4 linked regions of the Drosophila melanogaster genome follow. Changing the gene in region 1 together with any one later gene gives a genetic interaction. Each region holds a gene or a part of one and is shown in the gene's direction. Other genes may lie near its edges. The genes, in order: mei-41, mus301, armi and nbs.

Region 1 (4,637 bases):
GGTCGCTTTTTGGCCGGCTGGTCGATGACCGCGGACGCGTAGGCTAGCAGAAACATATACTTCGGTTTGTGCTCGGGATTGATTTTAACGCCGGAACGAAAGAGCGCGTCTACCAGTAGCTCCAGAAACTGGGGGTTTCGTATCAAGTCGATGGGCGGTGGATCGGAACCGGAGTAGTTGCGAAACAGCACGGTGATATCGGCGGGATTCAGTGTATTGCGGGTGAGCATGGAAGTTAGGGCTTGACATGCTTGCGGATAGACTGCCGAACCATTCAGGGCCATTGTAATAGGCGTTACATTTTGATTGCTAAACAATGAAGCAAAAGAAAGGATTTATGTTATGACTAACTATGTGGAATCGTCAGTTATTTTCATACTTCTGCAGGGCGTATTTAATAATTTCCTGAGAGAGCCGCTTCATGTTGAACCCACCCTTCTGCTCCTGGCTGAGGACCTGGATGAGCACCTGGGAGTATACGTAAGTGTGCTGGCCATGGCAGACCATTCGTGCGCACTCCTGAATGGCACCGTGCACATCATCCGGATTGTTTAGAAATTTGACGATCGAGGTCTTTAGAACCCGCGAGAAAACCTCAATCTGCTGTGCCGCTGTCGAAATGGAAGTGATCTCGCTCTGGAAGCCCGCGTCCGAGATCAACTTGATTGTAAAGTTCAGCATTAGACAATCGGGATATTCTTCGGCCAGTCGGTAGATTAGCGAGCGCCACGTATAGTGGTCGATCATCTCGGTTAGCCAGTCGGGCGTCTCACCCTCCTCCGTGAATATGGTGTCCGCCTTCTTGGGATCGAAGGACTTAAGAATCATTTCCTTGAGATGATTCTCCACCATGGCCTGGACTTCGGTAACCTTGACGCCCGCCAGGATGAGCCATTCCGCAAGCAGGTTGGCCATCTGGGCCACCGCCTTGTAGTTCTCGGATAGCATCGATATAACCTCCTCCGGAGATCCGCCCGACTGAAAGTAGCGCTTCAGCTGCGTAAATATCCCCGGCTCCATGATGTAGTCCGGTGTGAGGAACTTCTCCAGGCATTCCTGTATCGTCTTCTGCGGATTGTCCTCAAGCGTTTCCTTCGATTGGGATGGGATAACATGATGTTTAGTTGTTATTTTTTATGGTTTATCTAGTAGCGTCATCAAATTGCCGGGATTGCCTGCCACGCCGTACACGCTCTATACTCAATTACCTCCGGATTGGTTTGTCCTTTGGCGCGGCCCTGCCAACCAGAGTCGTCGTATTCCACTTCCATTTTTTCTCAAAAACTTATTTACAATAACATAAAAATATTTTTCTTATTTTGATTAACTATGCATTTTTAGTGTGACTGTAAATTGTTAACCACGACGCGCACACCTACGCGGGTTATGCGCCGTTTACACTTAGCAAACTCTTCTGTTAATTTCATATTATGCAATGTAAATCTTAAATTTGAGGAGAAAAAGAAAATTGTCAATAAGTGTAAAACGCGGTAATGTAAACATATATTAACTAATTTTTTTTTAAATTAATATATGTAAAATCGCAGTTGGAACGTGGCTGTTATTCAAGAAAAAGAAGAAGAAGCTGCCAAACATATCGATAGCCACAAGTGCGGCGAATGCCGGCTTTCGTAAACAAAGGTCGCGTTTTTGCGAGTTTTAAATAAACTTGGCAAAATGTCGACACAACGGAAGGATATGTGGAAGTTGCTTTACAACCACGTAAACCGGAACGTAAGCAACTTTTCCGGCGTGTACAGCGTTATAGAAGACATATTGTGCCAGGAGCCGAGTCTGATAAGCTGTTCGTTGGTGCGGGAGCTGCACAACAAATTCCAGGACACATTCCTACTCTGGCTGCTCAACAAGCTGGCCAAGTGCCTTAGTGAATCTCCAGATAGCAGGTAAGATGAGCCACAAGCATTGGACTCCAAACTTATGACACACCGTTTTTCTGCTGCAGCGAGTGCATCAATCTTCAAAGGAAAATACTGAGCTCCTGCTGTTCCAATCATCCTAAGCTTTTTGAACGCCTTGTACTGGCCTATGTGGAAGCCATTGAGGAGACGCACCTTCAGCTAAGTTCCCTGGACCTCGGCCAATTGAGTAATGAGCGAAAACCCGCCATAACTGTAAGAATATTCCGATGCGATGTGGAATGCCTGCAGGAGTTCGATCCGCACTGCGCTATCGAGGACATCAAGGTGCCCCTTGAGCAAGCCGACATGTATGCCAAGAGCCTGCTGGAGGTCCTCCAGCATGCCCATCACATTGGATACGCCACGCACGGCGACATCTTCTCGGGCAGCCTTCATCAGGCTCTGCTAATCCTCAAGGAGTGCGACATGGACACAAAACTGGCCAGCTTGAATTACTGTCACAATGTCCTACGATCACAGTCGGCCAGCAGCTGGATAACAAATCCGGACGTTGGACATTATGCGCAATTAACGTTGGAGGCGACGGCAATCATGTGGTCGGCAGTAGCCAAGTGGCTGGACATGGGATGTATGACGCGCCAGGAGCTAAAACGGCTCAATATAACAACAAAGCTACTGCTAGAAGTTCTGCATATGCGTGCACGTCCAGCCCACCATCTTGGCTACCTGCTTTTGAACGAGATCCTTAGTTTGCCGACAGCCATTGAATTGGACGATGGACTGCTGGAGACCCTAAGTTCCTATATTCAAGGCCAGCTAGAGCATTCGGTTGTACCATTGGAGCAACTGGTGCACTTGCAGCAGCTTATGTTAAGCCATTGGCACTGCCACCCCACACATTTGGTGCCCATATTGGCGCTAATGGGCTTGAAACAGACTGAGATGCGCTCAGGAGTGGTCCAAGTGCTTACCCAAAGTCTCGTTGAAATCTTGAAGAAGGAAGAAGTATTGTCGAAGGATTGGCAGAAACTGATTGCTATTTTACGAGGCTTCAAGCAGCTGGAGAAACTAATTCTGTCACAGAGTCAGCATAAAATAGCTGAGCACGAAGGTCACATCGATTCCTCAGTTCTGGCCATGTTACCGCTGCAGTGTGAAATCATAAAGGTTGCGGATACCAATTGGAATAACCTTTCAATGCAGCTGGTTGAGCTGGAATCAAAGTGTTCCGCAGACCGAAGACACATACACTTGGAAATCTGCTCCCTTTTGATGCAAATCACCTTCATCCGGCACTTTTTAAAGACTCAAACGCAACACCAGCTGCTGGCCATTCTTCAGCGACATTTGAAGCTGTCCTACCTTTGCGCCATTCGCTTGGAGACACCTTCTAGTGTTCATACCCAAATGCAAAGCTTCTATGCCCAGCAGTACATGAGGCTATTTCAATCCGAGGAGACACAGGAGATATTCTGTAGCAACCTTCCGCAGTTGTACATATCGGGTTTCATAAAGCCGGAGCAACTGATGAAAGCTCTGCCCACCATTAACAATCGTAGTGGCCGCGCTCAAGTTATACGCCTATTGCTCTGCTCCCAGCCAGGTAAATTGAGTGTCTTTAAAGTCAAAGATCGCATTGAGCTATACTGCCCGAAATGCAGGCCACTGCCAAAGAAACTGCCAGGTATTTACCTCGGAAAATGCAAGCAACAGCTGCCATGTCCAGACTTTTCAAGCACCAACCTCGAAATGATAGCAAATGATTTATTGTTTTATCCCGATTTTGAATGTATTGCCCAGCATCTGGACCTTCTGTGCTTTGAACCCAATGTGATTCTTGGCCTGCTAAGAGAAACGGAGGCACTGCAAAAGGTTAGCGTTAAGGTTATCGGCCAGCTGGTCTCTGCGATGCGTGTGCGTTCGCCAGAATTCTTGGAGCAATTAGCCAATCTTGTTCTAGCTGCTATAAAAGCAATGCTAGCAAAGCCACTGACAGAGCAAAATGTGCTGCAGCAAAGAAGTATGCTCAACGTACTGACCGCCATTGCGCACATGGAGGATAATGAAATCTGGCTCTTTCACTGGTTCAAAATGACATTCTTCTTTCTGGTGCACACTCGCTCACTGGTGGCGCAAGAAGCTGTGCTGGCGGCCACCGAGATGTGTGCCAGCCAGGGTCTGCAGACGATTCATCTGTGGAACTGGTACAAGCGAGATGCTCTCGACCTCACCGTTCGCCTGGCTTTGAACGTTTATCTTTTGGATGGCGTACGCTTCACCCGATCCCTCCGAGCGGTGCGTAAATAGACGAACTTTTCTTCACTTCCCAAAATTTGACCGGTCTGTTTGCAGCTTACGAAAATGTTGGGATTCACGTGCGTTCAGGAGTTCACCTGCAAGTATCATCGCCTTCTGACTGCCATGGTCCTGCCGCATTGCATCGTGAATCCGCTTTGCAAGGGAGTTTTGGTATTGATAGCCAAACAAATGCAGAAACACATTGGCACCTTGTTCTCCATCTCGTTCCTGCGGATCTACACACACGTCTTCCTGACCGAGGAACCGGAGTTGGCCAATAGTTGCATCGAGCTGGTGGTCAGTTGCACCCAGTCCAGCCTGCAACAGCTAATGAATGCGGATGTCAAGGTGGGCAGAAGTTAATTTATATTTTATTATTTTATCTTTTATTTTATTTTATTTGATTTGGTTATCACTTGTAGCAAACGGTGGCCGAGTTGCTTATATATTTCAACCGAA
Region 2 (6,741 bases), on another chromosome or scaffold:
GAACAGCTGGAAGATCCGGAGTCGTGCTGTCGGCTGTTTCAAAGATAAAACAATATAAATATTGTTACTAGTCATATTAATAATAGCTAATTTATTTGTATACTTACCCTGCCGCACAACATGGTCGTTTGGAGATTTCGATTTGGAGCGCCTTCCCTTTTGTTTTGTTTGATGGACAATCACTTCGTCTGCAGAGTCTTCGTCACTGGAGGATGAGATCCGCAGTGTCCTTTTCGGTTTTTTTGCTCCAATATCTAAGTCTGAGTCTGAATCTTTGTGTTCATTCTCTAGCGGATAGGTCTGCGACATTTCTATGACGTCTGGTACCACCTTTTGGCTTAGCAGCTTTGACCAATCCGCCACCTTATCGTACAGCTCATCGTCATCGGAATCGCTGACGTAGACGATGTCGTCGTAAGCTTGGTTCGATGGAGAACCTTCAGGCAAGTTTCCCATGCCATTGGTCAGCAAGAAGTCTTCTTCGCCATCACTTACGTGCATTTCGGCCTTCATTTCCCTGATCACTGCCTGAGACATGGCGAAACTCTCATCGTATTCTTCCTCGTCGTCTACTTCCCGCTCTGCCGAAGGGTCTTCGGCTTTCTGCGCCTCCGAAATGCTCCTCCTATCCGTATCCGTGTCCAGTTCTATACAGTCGCCGTCGTGTATTTTTTTGCGGGTTATTTCATTGTTCGCGGTCTTGTTAGTTAGCTTGTTGTACAGATATGGATTTAGTTCCAATACAGAATTCAGAATAGCGTCACTTGGTTCACCAAAAATGTTTTGTATCTCTTCGGAGGTATGCTTTACGATTTCCTGCTTAACTTCTGTTAGTTTTGGTAGATGCAAATTGGAACTCGAAGGTAGTACTTCCTCTTCCTGGCCGGGGTCCTGTTTGCCGCCAAAGTTTGGTATTTGCTGTTTCAGATTGAACTCGGTGGGCTGAGTGCCAGTGGGGCATCGCACGGCGGGCAGTGGTGTTGTATCGTCATCGTCGGACGACAGAACGATTTCCTCGACTACCGGCTCCTTTTTCTTTAGGATGAATATAGCATGTATGCCAGTTATTTCATTTAGGTTGACTCCCGTGACTCCTAGGCTGATTGTGGAGCCCTCAGCTACTGCCAGACGGTTGATCTTGTCGCCCAATTTGCCCCCGTTGATGAAGAGCCCATTCAGGGGGTTCTGTGATAAAAGCATAAACTATTAAAAGCATGTACATCTTAGGTGAGCTGCAATAACCTACCAGAGACTCAACCTCAACGCCCTTTTCGCTCACGATGATATTGGCGTGCTCCCGGGACACAAATTGGTACTGTCCACCCAAGATTATCCTGCAACGCGAGTGGCGACCCATCAAATTAGTGCCGTTGTGCAGGATGAGCCGTGCGCCAGTGGTCACATGTTCCAGGTACCACACGCTGCTCATCCTGACCAACTGTTACGTTACACTCGTACTCAACTGAAGGAAATTGTGAAAACTGCTAACTTTGAGTGAAAATTGAACATTGAATGTGCGCGACGCTTCATGCACTTACTATAACAACAAATCTGCCAAGTGGTAGTGAATTACTGCATTGATTGTTGGATTTCTCTATGCAAATACAAAATTCCCGTAATAAGAAACATAAGTATTTCAATCTACTTTTTAAAACGCGAAGGTGTTCTGGTATTCAAAACCCGTATTAATTACGTTTTTTAAACTAGCAACAAGACGCACTTTTTGGTCAGCGGTAAACAGTAAATGGCAGTGCTGTTAAACGAATTAGGGGAGTGCAACGTTAAAGTACATTTAAGCCGGTTGTAATTATTTTGTTAGCGTAGCTCTTAAAATTTTGCCAGATTTTGCCTATTTAATAGGAAACACGAAAAGAAGAAAATCGTATACCGTAAATGTTATATTTATAAATAAAAGGAACGATCGTTAGGGAATACGACTTTATCAACACTTAAGTTGAGACACGATCCCGGTTATAAACTTGGCTTACATGCTGCAGCCCTGGCCTGAGTTTTCCTTCATTTTCACGCGAAGTTCACACTATTTCGCGCCAAATGGCAAATAAGCATAATTTGTGCAAAAAAAGAAGTTTGGATTTGAGCGAGGAATCAACAAGCGAAAGCCATGCCAAGCGTCAGTGCACCGAAAACCTCTTTTGGCCGGAGGGCGAAGACGACGACAGCTTCTTTTCCAACGCGCATCTGGAGGATTTGCTGGACGGACGAAAGGAGGAGCTCTTTGGCACGCAAGCAACCACAAGTACCAACAAGATGACGCAAAGTGGGTCGGATGATGGACTGGGACTCTTTGCGGACACATCCTTTCCAAGTGCACAGAGTGTTCCACCCAACAGTGCCTCTAAACCGGATGAAGCCAGTGCACCAACTGATAAACATCAAATCGACCTGGCGGACGAGGAAAACGCCGACAAGCTGTTTAAGAAAATCAACCTCAACGATCTGAGCATTGCCGAAATGGAGGATATTTTCCATGGCGCCGATGATTTTAGTGATCCCATGGTTCAAAACACACAACTCTTCTTGGACGCAATGACCTTTAAGAAGCCCAAAACACCAGAGAAGCTACTGGCCCCCCTTAAAGACGATTCCATGTCTTTCATTTCCAAATCTGTGATTGAGGGCCTAGTGCAGGGCACTCAGTATGTGACCTGCGAAGAGCTGAAGAACCAATCCCTCCTAGATCCAGTCAATTGGGAGACTCAGGCTTTTGCGGACTTCGAGAAGAATAACCAAGATATAGACAAGTTTCCCAGCAAGGGCGAATTCTATGGCCTGCCGGATAAGGTCAAAAAGATGATTCTGGAACACAAAGGCATTAATAGTCTTTATGGTATGACTGCTAATTGAAAACCAATATAAGCTTAGTTTACGATCCCATTAATTCCGCAGAATGGCAGGACGAGTGCCTAAATCTACCTGCCATCAGGCAGCGCAAAAATCTGATCTACGCTCTGCCCACAAGTGGTGGAAAAACTCTAGTAGCCGAAATCCTTATGCTGCGTGAATTACTTTGCCGCGAACGCAATGTGCTGTTCATCCTGCCATATGTGTCGATTGTCCAGGAGAAGGTGAGCGCCATGTCTCCATTTGCAATCGACCTGGATTTCATTGTGGAGGAATACACGGCCGGCAAGGGCAAGTGTCCGCCTCAGCCGCGTCGCAAAAGACGTAGTCTCTTCATTGCCTCCATCGAAAAGGGAGCTGTTCTAATGGACAGCCTGATAGACGTACAACGTCCTCATGAGATAGGTCTGGTGGTGGTGGATGAACTGCATTTGATAGGCGAAAAGGGTAGAGGGGCCACCTTGGAGGCTTTCCTTACCAAAGTGATGTTTCTAAATGGTAAGTGGATATTTTGTGGTACTTTTTGTACAGATTAATGGAATTTTTGTTTTCTAGCCAATATTCAAATTGTTGGCATGAGTGCCACAATAGGAAATCTCAGCGAAATATCCTCTTTTTTGAATGCTGATGTATACACCAGGGGCTTTCGCCCAGTTGAGCTAAAGGAGTACATCAAATGTGGCCCCGATTTGTTGGAAATAAATTCGGCTGGTCAAACGCTGGAGGAGATATTCGTCCCCAGTCGCAGTGTAGAGTACAATGTAAGGAATATTCGAATTAGACGTTTGGAAAATGTTGCCGAAAGTAAAAGATTTTGATCTAATTTTTATTTGCAGTACAGTGAAGCCGTCAAACGCGCCGATCCCGACCATCTGGCTGGTTTGATAAGCGAATGTGCTCCGGAACACTGCTGCTTGGTTTTCTGTCCTAGCCGCAAAAACTGTGAGAACGTGGCGCTACTTCTCAGTCGCATTGTGCCAAAGCATAAATTTTTTGAGCATCGGCGTAGCGAGAAGTTGGATCTAATGGATGCCCTGGACAAGATGTGCGGCATACTCAGCCCGGTGTTGGCGAAAACCCTACCCTACGGGATTGCCTATCATCATTCGGGCTTGACAACCGATGAGAGGAAGTACATTGAGACTGCGTATAGATTTGGAGTCGTCACAGTCATTTGTTGCACCTCCACTTTGGCTGCAGGGGTCAACCTACCAGCCAAGCGGGTAATCATACGTGCTCCTTATGTGGGTCAAGAATTTCTGACTTTGTGCAAGTATAAGCAAATGGTGGGACGAGCAGGTCGCGCCGGATTGGGTGAAGCTGGCGAGAGTATCCTGATAGCCCAGAGCAAAGACAATCTGCTGGTCGGACAAATGCTTTTCTCGCCTATGGATAAGGCTTTAAGTTCCTTGGATCAAAATGAGGCAGTTGGACTGCAAGTAAGTTTTTAATTAGCGAAAATTAGGTGAATTTTTTACGCAGATCTTGATGAGAAAGAAAATATTAATTTTGTTAAAACACTCATTTTGCATTTTATCGTTTGTTTAAACGTAAAAATTTCCGGAGTTTCTCTTATTTTATTTACTATTTTTTTACTTACACCGATGAATATTTCCTTAAATTGCAATTATTTTTTTAAAATCGCAGATTTTTATGTAGTTTCTTGCTGTCACTGACTTCCTAGGCGAAATCTGTTTAAAGACTGAAGAAGGGAAATGAAAAGTGTTACCTTTACATTTTTCTAAACAAAGTGACCGCGTCCTAACTACCAAATTTGGCCACATCCTACATTATTGCAAAATGTGCTTTTAATTTTGCTGATCCCTTCTATATAGATTTGTAATTTTTTTTTCAAATTGGCAGTAATGGGACAGAAGGCAGTTCTATCTCTTTTTATGCTTTTATTTGATTAATCCAAATTACGATATGCATAAACATAATATAATTTTTTTCCCTAGTCGCTTATTCTCAGCGTGGTTGGCTTGAATTTAGCAGAATGTCGTAGAGACTTGAATCGGCTGGTAAACAGCACACTGTTGTCTGTGCAGGCCAAATCCCTGGAGGTGGCCGTGAACGAGATCGTGCTCCGTATTCTCCGAGAGATGTTCAAAAATAAAGTGCTGCAGCTTGCCGAACCGCAGGCGAAATCTAAGATCAATTCTTCGGATATTATAACATCGCAGGATGTTAGTCAGGCAAATAGGCCCGCTGGCGATCGACGTTTGCTCATTGGACAGTCGACGCCATTTAAGCTGACCAATATTGGAAGAGCTGCCTTCAAGGCGGGCATCGACTACAAGCGTGCAAATGCCATTCACAAGGAGCTCAAGCAGGCCCAGCAGCAGCTCATTCTGACCAACTACTTGCACCTACTGTACCTTGTCGTGTGCTTTAACTCGAACGAAAGAGGAGACGAGTTGTTTCCGGCAGATGCCAGCATTCTGTTTGGAGTTTACACCTCGCTTCCACTGGACTCGCAGGCAATGTTCAAACAACTTGGATTTACAGAGGCCCATGCAGCTAGGCTATTTAAGACGCAGTCGGTGCAAGGTCCATTGTCCCTGCAGCTGAATCGCCTCTACAAGGTGCTTATTCTGGCGGATATACTTAACCTCCTACCGATTCCCTCCGTGGCCAGCAAGTACAACGTGGAGCGGGGAACTCTGCAGCATCTGATCAGTCAATCCACAGCAGCGGCGAGTGCCATTGTTCGCCTGTGCGAGGAGCTGGAAGAGTTTTGGTGCTATAAACCATTGTTTGAGCGGATCTTGCACAAAATGGATCGATGCGGCACATTTGAGCTGGAGCCGCTAATGGAACTGCCAGCGGTTAAGATCGTGAGTGGCAAAATAATCTTGTCCTTAACAGAAAAGTAGATATGACTATTCCAAATTGCATTACTCTTCTAGAATCGTGCCAGGCAGTTGTATGCTGCGGGTTTTCAAACCATTGGGGATATAGCCAGAGTGAGGCCGTCGCACTTAGTCCAATCCTTAGAGCACATGCCGCTTAGAGTGGCCACGGAAATTGTCTCGGCAGCAAAGGTACACGTTGTTCTTTTGATTCTGTAACCCATTTAATAAGCTTATATTGGATTCCTTCTAGATAATTTTAATGAAAAAGCTCGACCACCTGGAAGAGGAAACGGAGAACCTGAAGGACTGTTTAAAAACGTCTGATAAAAATTAGCAGGACGTAAACACAAGTAAAAACAGCAGCTTAAGTGGGTTTTAAATTTATTTCAGTTTTTGTTTTGATTGTTATGCACTCCGATTTAAGTCTTGCATCTGGGTTCTCTACAACGAACACGATCTCCGACGAAGCTTAAATATTATAGACAATTTGTATGCAAATTGCAGTTTTAAATTAACACATTAGGTATTTTTCATTCTATATGTAAATCAAGGACATCAATGCATATTTTCCTTATTGTTCTGTTCTGCTGGATATTTTATGTTATGCTTCTCGATTAATTGGACATAATCAAGTAGGAGGGAGTTATTTTTATAAACTACTAGATACGAGCTAGCAGACAAATTCGCAAGCTGCTACTATCACGACATTTGAGTATTATACAACGTATATATAAGTAGGGGGGTTCTGGACATATATAGCTCATACAGCAAAAATAGCATAATCGATCGAAGGTAAATTTTGAAAAGAGCTTTCTGCAGAATGTACCCAAAAAATTCTCAGATAAATGATTGCTGTAGGTTATCATCGGTTATGTTGTTTTTCGGCGGCTATTGCTTCATATGTCCCGAGCCATTTCGAATTACGAGTACGTTTTGTGCGGCTAAACGACTAAAGTAGACACAGATTTGTTTAAGAAGTTGGAGCCGTGCACCAAATTGGAACTCTCCTTGTGTTGGGGAAACT
Region 3 (7,133 bases), on another chromosome or scaffold:
AGCTCAGCTAAAACCTTGTCCAGATCTTCATCGTCGTCGTCCTTCCCCTTGCGTTTGGCCTTTTTGCCCTTCTTTTCGTTCTTCTGTGGCTTGGAGACCACTACCTTTTCCTCCTTCTCAGACTGGCTTTCCTGGGCAGCTGGCTCGTCCTGCTCGTCGTCGTCCATTAGCAGCTCAAAAGCCGACTTCTTAGAAGCTTTGCCCTTGGCGGGCACCACCTCCTCCTCATCGGAGTCGTCATTTTTGCCTGCTTTGCCTTTTCCCTTGACATTAAGCTTCTTGACCCCCTTGGTCACGGCTTTAACATCGTCATCGCCAGCTTGATTGCCCTTCAGGGCATGATTCTGCTTGTTGTTGAGGCTCAACTGGTCGCTGTCCACATCGGAGCTGTAAGATTGAATAATTTGCGATAGAAAGTTTGCCAAGTTGGCAGGTGGGCATGAACTTGCACAAGACTCACATTTCGTCCACCGAGGAACCGCCTTCGACCTTGGTCAGTATCTCTTTCTTGCCCTTTTTAGCTTTAACCATCTTCCCGTTTGCGACTGCAACACGCTCCTCCTCTGGCCGAAAACAAAAAGCCGTGGGTTATTCACCGCTGAAAGATACGCACACGCGACGCCTCGGCAGCCAAGAAAAAGAGGAGGACTGTCCACTGGGTTCTCCTGGTGCTGGTGATCTTCTGATGGTGACTCCGCTTCGGTGGCTCCAGCGACGACGTCCTGCTCCGGAATTGTGCAATCGACGGCTAGATCTGACACGGCGCTTTGCCAATTTTTGGTTTTATTTAGCCGAGGAAATTCTGCACACAAGCACGTTGTCGAGTAGTACGGTGCGGGAGGGTTGGACAGGCAGTGTGACCGTGCGAGTGGATTGCTGAAAATCACAATGGCTGAGCTAAGGTTATCGATTATACCCTGTAATATCCAGTTGAGCGGGGTATTTTTGTTTTGAGTCTATAGTTGTACATAAAGATATATTAAATATATATACACCTTTTTCAATAGAATCGCGGCCTCGGCGCTGGCGTGCGCTGTTTACGGGAACCATTTATCGCCTCTGGTGCTCAGTTTCTTACTCATCAGACATAGGGCAGTTGGTTTTATTGGTTTTCCTAATTGGTAAATTATTTCAACTGCGAAAAGTATTGAACATACTCTTAAATAATATCGATCACTAGGGTATTTATGGAGAAAGAAACCATCTATGGACTTTTTTACACATATACTCGAAAAACTTTCCGGATTGCGGAAAGATATTTGGCATATTTTGGAATTTGATTGCTTATTTCTTAAATGTAAGTGACAGATAACTAACAGGTACTCTTGAAAAAAAGATAAAAGAATAAGAACAAGTTCTTCGTGTGTATTATTTTTGTGAGGAGGTAAATTCCAAAAACAAAAACTTAAATGTGGACTGCCGATATTTTATATACTTTCTTGAGTTCTTTACTTTACATTTTTGTTTCATTTTATTTTTGAGAACTTTTTTTAAATAAGGAAAATATAAATACATAAGCAACTTCCTCACGTTTCATATTCCACCGCTTTAATTTGACACACTTTAAGAAAATACCACAGCCAAGGATATTTTCTACGCCGCTAAGTCCGGTCACACTTAAAAGTTCGCCAAGACGCTTTGTGCTCAAAATTTTGCTCGAGAGTTTTTTCGAATACTATGACTATTTCCCATTGAACTCTTAAAACTCAAAGTGCAGTGCATCTACTAATTCAACAGCGTTAAGAATATTTGTAAGTACGAGTACAAATAGCAAATCCGGCTGTGCATTTGCAAAAAGCCGGTAAGGAACTCACATATTTGGTCCACAGCTTGATAACCAAGGTAAATCCGCGTGATTGGACAATGTCCAGCGAAGCATCCGGAAGTATAACCATCAAAGAAGAAGCATCTACAAGCGGTACGGCCACCAATATTCCCGTTGAATCCAGTGAAACAGAGGTATGAGTTTGTTGTTGTTGCCATCCTTGTTTTGGCGTGGTAGAAGGAGACGAAAGCAGTGCAGGAGTAACTGTTGCTGTCGCTTTTCTTGAGACTTTCGTTTGCTTTTTCTCCATTCAAACTGTTGCTTTTTTGCAGTTATTTTAACAGCCTAGACTAAAAAACAAATCACTATTGAATTCAAGAACCCTAACACAAAGTTTTTAATTTTCCGTTACAAAACATACAGAAAATGTATACAAATGTTAATTTTTTTATTTTATATATGCTCTTATAAATACATTTAAATTTATAAATAAATATTCTCTAAATATTTCAAAAATTGTCCGTAGAAGTAAAACAACAAAATGTTGTTAAATGAAAATTGTAGGATATTTAAGCCTTCGGTGTCATAGAAGGTAACATTGTATGTTCTCAAATGTTTACAATACAGATGGTCCACATTTCCAGGCTAAGAAACCCGAGATCGGAGCTGACAAGGCGGAATCGCAGAGCGAAACCACCGAGGGCGGGAAGGCGGCGGAGACGACGGAGAACCACTTGAAGCGTCTGCAGAATCTGCGCAAGGAATTGAGCTATCTCAGCGAAACCGACTGGATGTACGAGAGTCTCGACAAGAAAGCAGCGCAGTAGGAACGGCAGAGCATTTATCGGCGAAACATTTTCAAAAATGTTCACATACGTTAGCAAGTTTTTCACGAACCCGGATCGTAACCGGGAGGATATTCTGGAAAGTTTGGATCGGGAGAATAGCTTTTTAGACCAAAAACTAATGGAGGAGAAGATGGATCAACAGCTTAAGGCGAATCCAAACGAAATTAATGGGGTTTTAAGTAACAAGATCGCTGAGCTTACGCATGGACTTTCGGAAATGGACGTGAGTAAAGAAAGTTCCTGCACCGCCAGAAAGGGAGTGATCACCAGTCTAGACGGCGATCGGGGAGTCATCGACAAAGACGTTTTATTCGAAACGAAGGTGGCAGAGGATATCATCTTGGATCTACACGTCGGATGTGTAGTGGAATATTTGACTTTTACAACGGGGGAAGCCATGCGGGTGGTCAAGGTGAAGAGTATCCTTGAGCATTCCTGGGAGGACACAAGCCAAAAGGAGGTAAGCTCATCGGTATTAGATTTATTAGCCATTTGTTAAAGCCAATGCTTAATATCTGTAATCCTAACTTCTATTAGATTGAAAAAGCTGTAGACAACCTGAAGAACGAAAAGCCGACATTCTTTAACACCGAAACAAGGAGCGTTTTGGGTCTGATTAGCCAGCGTCTGGCATCTTCCATAGACGTCGAAACGGAATACGGACAGCTGACCGTCGAGCTAGACAATATCGAGATGAACTTCATCCCAACGAATGGAGATCGAGTGCGCCTAGAGTGCAACATTCAGCTGGATGACGGTTTCGTGGACAAACAGGGAGAAATCCTAGAGGTGACAAAGTTGTTTCCCACCCGCATTCAGGAAGGTGAAAAGTGCATTGTGGAGCGCGTGTACGTGCACATGGTTGTGCTGGGTCCGGAAACCTACATTTTAAAGACAGACTTGCCTACAGGCACGGATCTTCATCTGGGCGACATTGTGCTCGCCGATCTCATCGAGTGCCAGTATGTAAGTTAAAGAAGGAACATAAAATCTTGCGATTTTCTTCTTTATACGTGTGTTTTAATTCCCCAGTCCAAATTTACGAGACGCGCCATTAAGATTACTCCGCTGGAGAAAAATTTTGGGGCTACCAAGCTGACTCAGCAGAGCAGTATGGGATCATCCGGCAGTGGAAAAGCAGTGACGGTGACTGGTGTAAATCGTTTCATCACCGCAGAGCTCTGGCAAAAGGAGAGCGTATCTTTAAAGCTGACCAACAATCTAAACCGCACTTTGCGCCTGGAGAGCATCACCGTCTGCAATGACAGTGAGTCTCAGTTGAGCGTGGTCAGCCCTCTCGAATCAAAGGAAATATCCAGCGGCTCCGAAATAACGGTGACCTTTGAGATCCATACGCAGTTCCTGGGGGAAGCAATCGAAAAGTACGTGCTGAATTTCGATCTACTCAAGGTGAGGCGCGTCTTCACGGTGATCGTGTGCAAAACCAAGGAGGAAGTCGCTGAAGCTGAGAAACGTATGATAGCAGCTGAAGCTTTGATGGCACCCGGTCGTAACAGCCAGGAGAGGTCCCGGTTCTATGCCAACCAAGTTTGGTGCAACAAGGTGGATGTAATCCCGGGACAACAAATTGTTACCAAGCGCAGATTTGTTGCTCTGCGTTTGGGTTGCTTTGAAGTAAGGAGTCCTCTCATTAAAAAATATGCTTATTTTTAATACTACCGTTCTTTTAAGGTGCCCAAAGAATTGCGCCAAATTTGTTTGACTAGTGAACGGCGACAAGAGATGATCAAGGCCATCGAGCAGCACTATTCATTCCTCACGGAACCCCTAAGCATTAAAACCTATATGCACCGTTTCAGATTGCTCCTACACCTCGAGGAGATCGAGTGCTTCGTCAACTTTCGCAACTACGACAGAGACCGAGCACACTTTCTGCGTGACGGAGAGTTCCTCACGCTGCAGATCGAGAATCTAGCCGAGCGTCGACCGTCGCTGGTCATTGGCGATACACTGCGAGTCATTAATCCCTGGTCGGATCCCGATTCCCAGACCACCAAGTCATACGAGGGCATTATCCATAAGGTGCTCTTCGATCGCATTTTACTCAAATTCCATTCCAGTTTCCAGGAGAAATATAATGGCGAGGACTATCGACTAGAGTTCTATTTCTCACGCTACAGTTTTCGCAAGCAACACCATGCCATCTCCAAAATTGTAGGAGTAATGGGCGAGGATTTCTTGTTTCCCAGCAAAGTAACCAAGCGCGAGAATCCCCAGCTGGATGTTTATATGAAGGATGACGACATGTACTTGTACGATTCGAAATTAGAGTGGTATAATCAGTCGCTTAATTCCATCCAAAAACGTGCTGTTTTCAATATACTGCGCGGTGAAGCGGAGAACATTCCTTATGTGCTGTTTGGGCCTCCGGGCAGTGGAAAAACAATGACACTTATTGAGACACTACTCCAGTTGGTTAGGAATCTGCCTGGTGCCCGAATCTTGGTGGGAACGCCGTCGAACAGCTCAGCGGATTTGGTGACAAAGAGGCTCATCGATAGCAAAGCTTTGCTCCAGGGAGATTTCATTCGCCTCGTTTCGTACAATCAAGTGGAGAAAGACTTGATTCCTCCGGAAATAATGAGCTACTGCGCCACAAGTGATGTCGGTGCTGTGGGCAGTTGCGAGGACAAAGTGAGTAGAAAAATTTTATCATTTGGATTGGACACCAATTAATCTTGGCTTTGTTGATATTTGCTATAGATGATGGTCACCGAATCGGGATTGAAGCTTCGCTGTCAAGCTAAGTTTATAGGTACTCATCGCATTACCATCTCCACCTGCACTACTTTGGGAAACTTTTTACAATTGGGGTTTCCAGCGGGCCATTTCACTCACGTGCTGTTCGATGAAGCTGGTCAATGCACCGAACCAGAAACAATGGTACCCATTGTAATGCTAACGAAGAAACGCTCTCAAGTTGTTCTCTCAGGTGATCCTCGCCAGCTGCAGTCTATTGTCACCAGTCGAATTGCCTCGAAAATGGGATTTTCCATATCCTTTCTGGAGAGATTGCTGGAACGGTCGCCGTATCGAAAAGATCTTCAGCGATTTCCCGAAAGCTCCGGCTACAATCCACTAGTGCTAACCAAATTGTTGTACAATTACCGAGCATTACCGTCGATTATGAGCATTTATAGCAGGCTATTCTACGATGACGAACTGATCCCAGTTCTTTCCGAAAAGGATTCAAGGGAATCTCGCCTACTAAGTAAACTGCGGTGTGTATTTGAGTCAGAAAAGGATATCCCTCAAGCGCACGGCACGTTCTTTTACGGAATCATTGGCGAAAACAGGCAAAATAACGATTCCCCTTCCTGGTTCAATCCCCAAGAGGTCAGGGAGGTGTTCCTAATGACCATCGCCCTGTACCGTGCCAATGTGACTGCCGATCAGATCGGTATAATCACGCCCTATCAGAAGCAGGTGAAGATGCTTCGGAGTATGTTCATTGGCACCGACGTGGTCATGCCGAAGATTGGATCCGTCGAGGAGTTTCAGGGACAGGTGGGGTCGGAACTAAAATCGATATTACGTGCACACTTAACGTTTGTTATTTCCAGGAACGAGACATTATACTAATATCCACGGTGCGTTCATCAGAAGAGATCCTGCGCATGGATGCCCGCTTCTCCTTGGGATTCGTGCGTTGCAGCAAGCGACTTAACGTGGCCGTTTCCCGAGCACGTGCCATGATGATCATCTTCGGGAATCCCCATCTTCTGGCCGTCGACGAATGCTGGCGCCAGCTAATCCTGTTCTGTGTCAAAAATAACGCCTATTTTGGCTGTGATCTGCCTCAAATGGTGATAAATCAGAAAGATGAGGTCCCCGTTTGCTTGGAAACATTCGTGCCTTCACTGAATACTACAGATGATTTGAACTAAGCACATATGACAGTTTATTATTAAATTAAAACACTTGTTATTGATGAATTAAAGTAACACAATTAATCATTAAACTTGTTTTAAATATTTGTACATATGTGCTAATTTTAGCGAATGGTAACACTCCCAAGCGCAGTCTGGGAACGCTGCTCGTTTGGCTTCGCAGTGTGGTAGCACTGGCCGGAACCGTTGTAGCGCCATGTTTGCGCTCCTTTTGTTTTCTCCTTCATTTGTTTTGCTTTTTTCCGCCGTTAAGTTCTTGCCTTAAAATCGGTGATTTAAGGCATTGCATTCAATTTCGATACAATGGAGCAGAAAGTGGCTGCCGAGCAGAACATCTTCGTCGTCGACCGCAAATTGAAGAAAACTTGCCCGCAAGCAGATGTCGAGGTGAACGGACATGTGCTTAACTTTTGCGAACCCGACTTTATTTCGTTAAATACCAATTTGTAGCGCCTGGCTAAGACGCACTGGCTCACCGACTATGCCCGGGATATATTTTTGACCATGAGGGAGCAAGAACTCAGCCGTCGGCCTTTGTTTTACCTTTCGCCGCAGCTGAACGAGCGCCGAAGAATGCTGCAGTTGCTCAAACTGGCGACCAGCGCCCAC
Region 4 (4,928 bases), on another chromosome or scaffold:
TGGCTTTAGTGATCCTTATACCGTATGTCAGCACCCTACGGAGATCGCGGGTGCACTCCGACCGCTTGGCCGTGCAAAGGAGCAATCCTTCCATGTGCAGGTTGACCATATGAAGAATATCGTCCACCTGCTCGCCGCTGCCCTTTTTTTTTAAACCAAATGCTACTAGAACCGACAAAACTGCCATGGCCTGAGTGGCGGTGGTGTAGTCGTCCAGCTTGCTAATGCACTGGATGCACAAACGGAGCAGGGCTACGCGATGCTCGCGAAGCAGCTGCTGGCAAGTAAGCGGGCACTCGCTTAACTTCAGCAGGATTGAGAGGAAGAGGAACTGCTCCTTGGAATTGGTACACAATTCAAAACGATCAATGAGCGCTTTGATGGCTGGCTTGGGCCAGGCATGAACGCTCTGACGTCCGGCCAACTCGTTGAAAGATCGCAGCACCTGTATGCGTACTGGTGTCCTTAAGTCCTGCATGAAATCCAGCAGAACATCCAGCTGACCGGGCACTCCCACCAGCGTTCGTGATGACAATTGAGTGAGCGTGTCTATGATGGCCACCACAAAGCTCTGGGCTGGATATTTGGGCAGCAGATCCATGCACAGTCTGCTAACCAGTGACGCTGTGGTAGCCTCGTGATGCATGTGTCGCAACACGGGAATCAGGAGCAGCTTCATTGGCACCGGCACCTGAAGCGATTCGATCATGTCCGAAATCTTGGCGCACATGCTGATGGCAAAGGAACTTGACTGGGCGGCAAAGCAGCTGCTGGCATAGATGGCAGCCTCCACCTCGACGGTATCGTGGCTATCCAGAGCACGTCGAATGGCATGATGAACCTGTTGCTTCTCGGGAATCACACGGGAAACGGCGCCCAAGGTGCGCAGGAGGAGAGCACGCGCCACCGGATCGTTGGAGTGCATCACCACAAAGATACAGCGCACAAAGCTGTCAATGTTGAGGATCTTGTCCAGATGATTCTCGCTCTGCTGGCAAACACGGAGCACCCAGAAGCGCAGCAGATTCGATCCGCTGACAAAGTAATCGGCCAGCTTAATGAACGACGAGTTGATGAGAATGGGAAACGGATACTTCTCGAAGAGGCGCGGAAAGCGGACGACCGCCTCGCACTGGATTCCCTGCTTGGTGCTCCGCAGTCCCTTGTCCAGTTCCATGAGCACCGCATTCGAGTCGTGCTCATTTTCGTTAAGGAAGCTCTCGTTGAAGGTGCTCACGCGGGTGCCGGTCAGGTGAGACATGGTTACAGGTTTCCTCACTCACATTTATCGCAGATAAATCGTGTTTATTGAGGTTTTCATTAGCCAAACGACACAAAAACAAACCGGCTGCAAATGCTTCTTCTTGCTAATTTGTCGTTCGTAGGAAACTCCGGTATCATTGCAGCGATAGCTGGTCACTTAACAGTAAAAAAAACGTTTGAATCCAAAGTCTATATTGTCAATTCTTTATAAGCGTTTGTCGATCGATAATAAAATTATCCTGATTTCTAAAATAAGAAAAAAATCAATTTAAGAAACAACTATTAACTTAGAAAATTATGTAGAAAGTGATGTAGCCTATTATTCTCACTCCTTCTTTGTCTCTGTGTAGATAATTTGCAAATCTGCTAAGGTCACACTGCTCGCTATTTGTTGAATTTGTTAATGTTTTGAAATTATGTTTGTTTTGACTAAAGGCACGTAAAAATGGTCTAAAACACAGAGATTATTAGTTTATTCATTTTTTAAATACTCTTTATAGATGACGAAAAGTTTGTGTTGTTTCCTGGCAAAAAGGTGTACACCATTGGTCGCCTGGCCACGGATTTAATTGTTGCGCAGGACCTCAGTATAAGTCGCAATCATGCCCAGCTGCTCATCCAAACGGAAGCGGATGGCGATGACACCCTGCATATCGAGGACCTTGGCTCCAGATATGGCACTTTCATTTTCCCCAAGAATTCCCAAAAGCCGCGCAAGGTGCCTGCCAAAACATCGACTCCATTGCCTGTGGGCACACGCTTGCGATTTGGCGCAAACATGAGCATTTGGCAGGTGACCCAACTGAAGTTGGTTACAACTGTCTCCGCATTAACGCGTTCCGAGGTCCAGGAGCTCACGAAGATGCTTGAACCCATGGGCGGCACGGTCACTTCGAACTGGACCGAAGAGTGCTCCCATCTAACCATGAACGAAGTTTCGGTGACCGTGAAACTACTGCACGCTATGCTCGAGAATAAGCCGATTGTGACATTCCCCTACTGGCGAAAGATGCTGCAGGCAGCGCAGAGCATCCATGTCAAGGAGGGCTGGCCTCAGCCGGAGGATTACCAGCCCACCAACATAGATGTCACCTGGCGTCCTGAGCGTACCCGTCTCTTCGCCGGCAAGACATTCGTCTTCATGAACCGCAAACACTTTGATATGTACGGATCAGTTGTGCAGAAGGCTGGAGCCACGTGCAAGGACATCAATTCGGGTGTGCGCAAAACATTCCTAACAAAGAGTGATGTGATAGTCATACAGTATGTGCCATCGTCCCAGTCGCAGGCCACTGAATCAATCAATAGTATACAAGATAGGTGTAAATATATTGCTCACATCACAGCGTTTAAGTATTATTATGTATTATAATTTTTAGATATTTTGGAACAGAATGGTCGACGTATTATCCAGGAGTACGAGATTGGCATGGCCCTAATACATTGCTCTATAACAGAATTCTGCAACCCAACGCACAAGTTCATCTCCGATTCATTGCCCACCACGGAGTCTGTAACTTCCTCGATGGCCTTTAACTCTTCGATCATTGTGCCCAACACGGAACGCCACTCGGCGCAATCCAATGCCACGCCCATTTCCGAACTGGTGGTGCCTGAGTCAATTGAATGTGAAATGGAACAAGATGCTTCTAAGCCCCATTCGGAGGACCAAGCTTCTTTGCGTAAGCGGAGTCATGCCTCAACAGTTGACTCCTCGGACGAGGAGAAGAAATCAACATTGTCTAAGCGAGCTAAATCGGATATCGCTACGAAACTGACCATGAAATCAAAGAATGCCATATTGTTGGACTCGTCTTTGGAAGAAGATGTGACACCAGCTCCGGCGCCTGCTCCAGTTCAACGAGTAACAAGGCAGAGCAAAGCCATCGCTGAGGAGAAATCCGTACATCCACCTGTTCCAGCTGCGAGTAAGCACATAACACGGAAGACCAAACAGGTTTTTTGTGTTGACTCATCGGATGAGGAGAACGAAAATGCTCGGAAACCAAAAGAAACGCCAGCTCCAACTATCCCTTCGATGGCCAAGAAGAAAACGGAAGCACCCGTTGCCACCAGGATTTCACCACGACTCAATGGGAAATCATTGGCCACAAATATTACCAACCAACCGGCTGACAAACATGCAGTGCCTGCAAAACGTCCTGTTTTATCGGTGGCCTCGAGTGACGAAGAAGATGAAGGGGACCTATTTCAATTCCGTAAATCTCCACAGAAGCCAGCAGAGACTGTGGTTCAGCCAAGAATCGCAGGCAAAGGCAATGCACCTGCCAGAATCAGTGTAGTCGACTTTCTAGAGAAATCACAGGCACAAGAACCAGCTCCAGTGCCACCCCAATTGGAGTCCCAATCCCAGACACAACCGCGCAAGCGTTTACGCCTTGAGCTGCTAAACGAAAGCGACAGCGATGATTGTGATAATCTTTTTAACTTTGCAGACAGCAAAAAGAAACGAAAGACGCAAGAGGCTCAGAGAAATGATGACTCCACGGATGGCTTGTTTAACTTCAACTCTGAAAGACCGTCTGATCATGATGACGAGGATTCCCGGTTAACCGAACCATTTGTACCCGAAACGGAAAGCAAGAAGCAATCCAAGTACATAGTGGCACCGCGTAGAGATAGACCCAAGAAAGTGGACATCAGTGGTTGGTTATCGTGTAGCAGGCTAAACGATAATATCAAATCCGAAATAGATGCAGACTCAGTTAAGATGGAAACCTCTATTAAGGCGGATCCCGATGAGGAGCAATGGCTGGCCGCCATGAAAGACAGCATTGAGGTGCGCATGTGCAACTTAAACATTGTCATTCGCTCCCAGGAGGAAGTGGATGCTTCTCTTGAGGATTCTGTGAACAAGCATGGCGGCCGCAAGAACTTTAAGAAGTTTGTAAAGGTGAGTCTCGAATTAATAACAAATATTAAAACGACTTATTTATTTGTGTACCTCTGTTAGACCAAAAATCCTCATCCCCAAAAGCGAATTGTTGCGCTTAAGAGTCTTCGGCTGGCTGATGGTATGGTAACCTGTGTTTAATGTCGTGCCTAAACGTAATTAACCGTCGCTTGTGAAGTTACTTTATTTTGCTAACAATAAACTTGCGAAATATGTTCAACGCCTTTTCCGGCTCCTTGGACAACTTGCGATTGAACATCGTCTGTGCGGCCAGCCACTCGTGCTTGGCTATCTTTCTGGTAAAACAACTTTCTGGAGGAGGATTCAGTTTCCTGGCCTGCGACTCGCGTTCAATGAACTTCTGTGCATCCGCCACCGTGGCCAGAACGTTTTCATTGAATGTGGGTTTCTTTGTATCTTGAACGGGTGTTTCCTTCCTGGCAATTATGGTGCCCACATCAGATTTGGCCAACAGTTTGGCTTTTTCTACTTTGGTGACGACTTTTTTCGGTATCAGGACAATGTCTGGTGTTTCGTCTTTCTGCGTTTGGTTATTAGTTCTCGTTGGAGGTTCTAATCTGGCAGGAAGCTCTTGATTCTCCGCCAGAAACTTGTGCTTCTCCACCTGCGGAAAGTTAGCAATCTGGGGGCGCAGTTTGTTGTAAAGTATGGCACTTTTGCCGGCCTGCAAGGAGCTCAGTTTGCTAATCTTGGCAATGGCAGCGATTAGCAGCGTGGTGAAGTCCATGAA

Evidence for each region.
Region 2: of mei-41 (region 1) and mus301, changing one suppresses a phenotype caused by changing the other (phenotypic suppression), as found in Drosophila melanogaster (2 studies listed by BioGRID).
Region 3: of mei-41 (region 1) and armi, changing one suppresses a phenotype caused by changing the other (phenotypic suppression), as found in Drosophila melanogaster (2 studies listed by BioGRID).
Region 4: of mei-41 (region 1) and nbs, changing one enhances a phenotype caused by changing the other (phenotypic enhancement), as found in Drosophila melanogaster (2 studies listed by BioGRID).

Annotation. Positions count from the first base shown.
Region 1 is NC_004354.4:16,390,084-16,394,720, forward strand, and holds the start of mei-41 (meiotic 41), read left to right. Parts: upstream 1-1,614; 5' UTR 1,615-1,677; coding exon 1,678-1,904; intron 1,905-1,963; coding exon 1,964-4,175; intron 4,176-4,232; coding exon 4,233-4,526; intron 4,527-4,600; coding exon 4,601-4,637. Other genes in the region: TH1, read right to left, coding at 1-309, 380-1,092, 1,209-1,271. UniProt on the Drosophila melanogaster protein: Serine/threonine protein kinase which activates checkpoint signaling upon genotoxic stresses such as ionizing radiation (IR), ultraviolet light (UV), or DNA replication stalling, thereby acting as a DNA damage sensor.
Region 2 is NT_037436.4:8,135,785-8,142,525, forward strand, and holds mus301 (mutagen-sensitive 301), read left to right. Parts: upstream 1-2,023; 5' UTR 2,024-2,052; coding exon 2,053-2,848; intron 2,849-2,907; coding exon 2,908-3,360; intron 3,361-3,417; coding exon 3,418-3,623; intron 3,624-3,698; coding exon 3,699-4,301; intron 4,302-4,820; coding exon 4,821-5,699; intron 5,700-5,771; coding exon 5,772-5,906; intron 5,907-5,967; coding exon 5,968-6,051; 3' UTR 6,052-6,230; downstream 6,231-6,741. Other genes in the region: Setx (senataxin), read right to left, coding at 1-33, 108-1,185, 1,247-1,429. UniProt on the Drosophila melanogaster protein: Single-stranded 3'-5' DNA helicase that plays a key role in homology-driven double-strand break (DSB) repair.
Region 3 is NT_037436.4:3,459,712-3,466,844, forward strand, and holds armi (armitage), read left to right. Parts: upstream 1-1,605; 5' UTR 1,606-1,751; intron 1,752-1,829; 5' UTR 1,830-1,863; coding exon of another isoform or gene 1,864-1,959; intron 1,960-2,392; exon of another isoform or gene 2,393-2,409; coding exon of another isoform or gene 2,410-2,592; 5' UTR 2,593-2,629; coding exon 2,630-3,073; intron 3,074-3,150; coding exon 3,151-3,579; intron 3,580-3,645; coding exon 3,646-4,248; intron 4,249-4,305; coding exon 4,306-5,268; intron 5,269-5,337; coding exon 5,338-6,141; intron 6,142-6,197; coding exon 6,198-6,521; 3' UTR 6,522-6,603; downstream 6,604-7,133. Other genes in the region: eIF5B (eukaryotic translation initiation factor 5B), read right to left, coding at 1-387, 461-531; CG46463 (uncharacterized protein), read left to right, coding at 1,864-1,959, 2,410-2,592; CycJ (cyclin J), read left to right, coding at 6,828-6,911, 6,975-7,133. UniProt on the Drosophila melanogaster protein: Probable RNA helicase required for axial polarization of the oocyte during early and mid oogenesis. Plays a central role in RNA interference (RNAi) process, a process that mediates mRNA destruction of translational repression.
Region 4 is NT_037436.4:9,719,875-9,724,802, reverse strand, and holds nbs (nbs), read left to right. Parts: upstream 1-1,608; 5' UTR 1,609-1,679; coding exon 1,680-1,698; intron 1,699-1,763; coding exon 1,764-2,585; intron 2,586-2,642; coding exon 2,643-4,177; intron 4,178-4,237; coding exon 4,238-4,318; 3' UTR 4,319-4,355; downstream 4,356-4,928. Other genes in the region: defl (deflated), read right to left, coding at 1-1,261; CG14174 (uncharacterized protein), read right to left, coding at 4,356-4,928.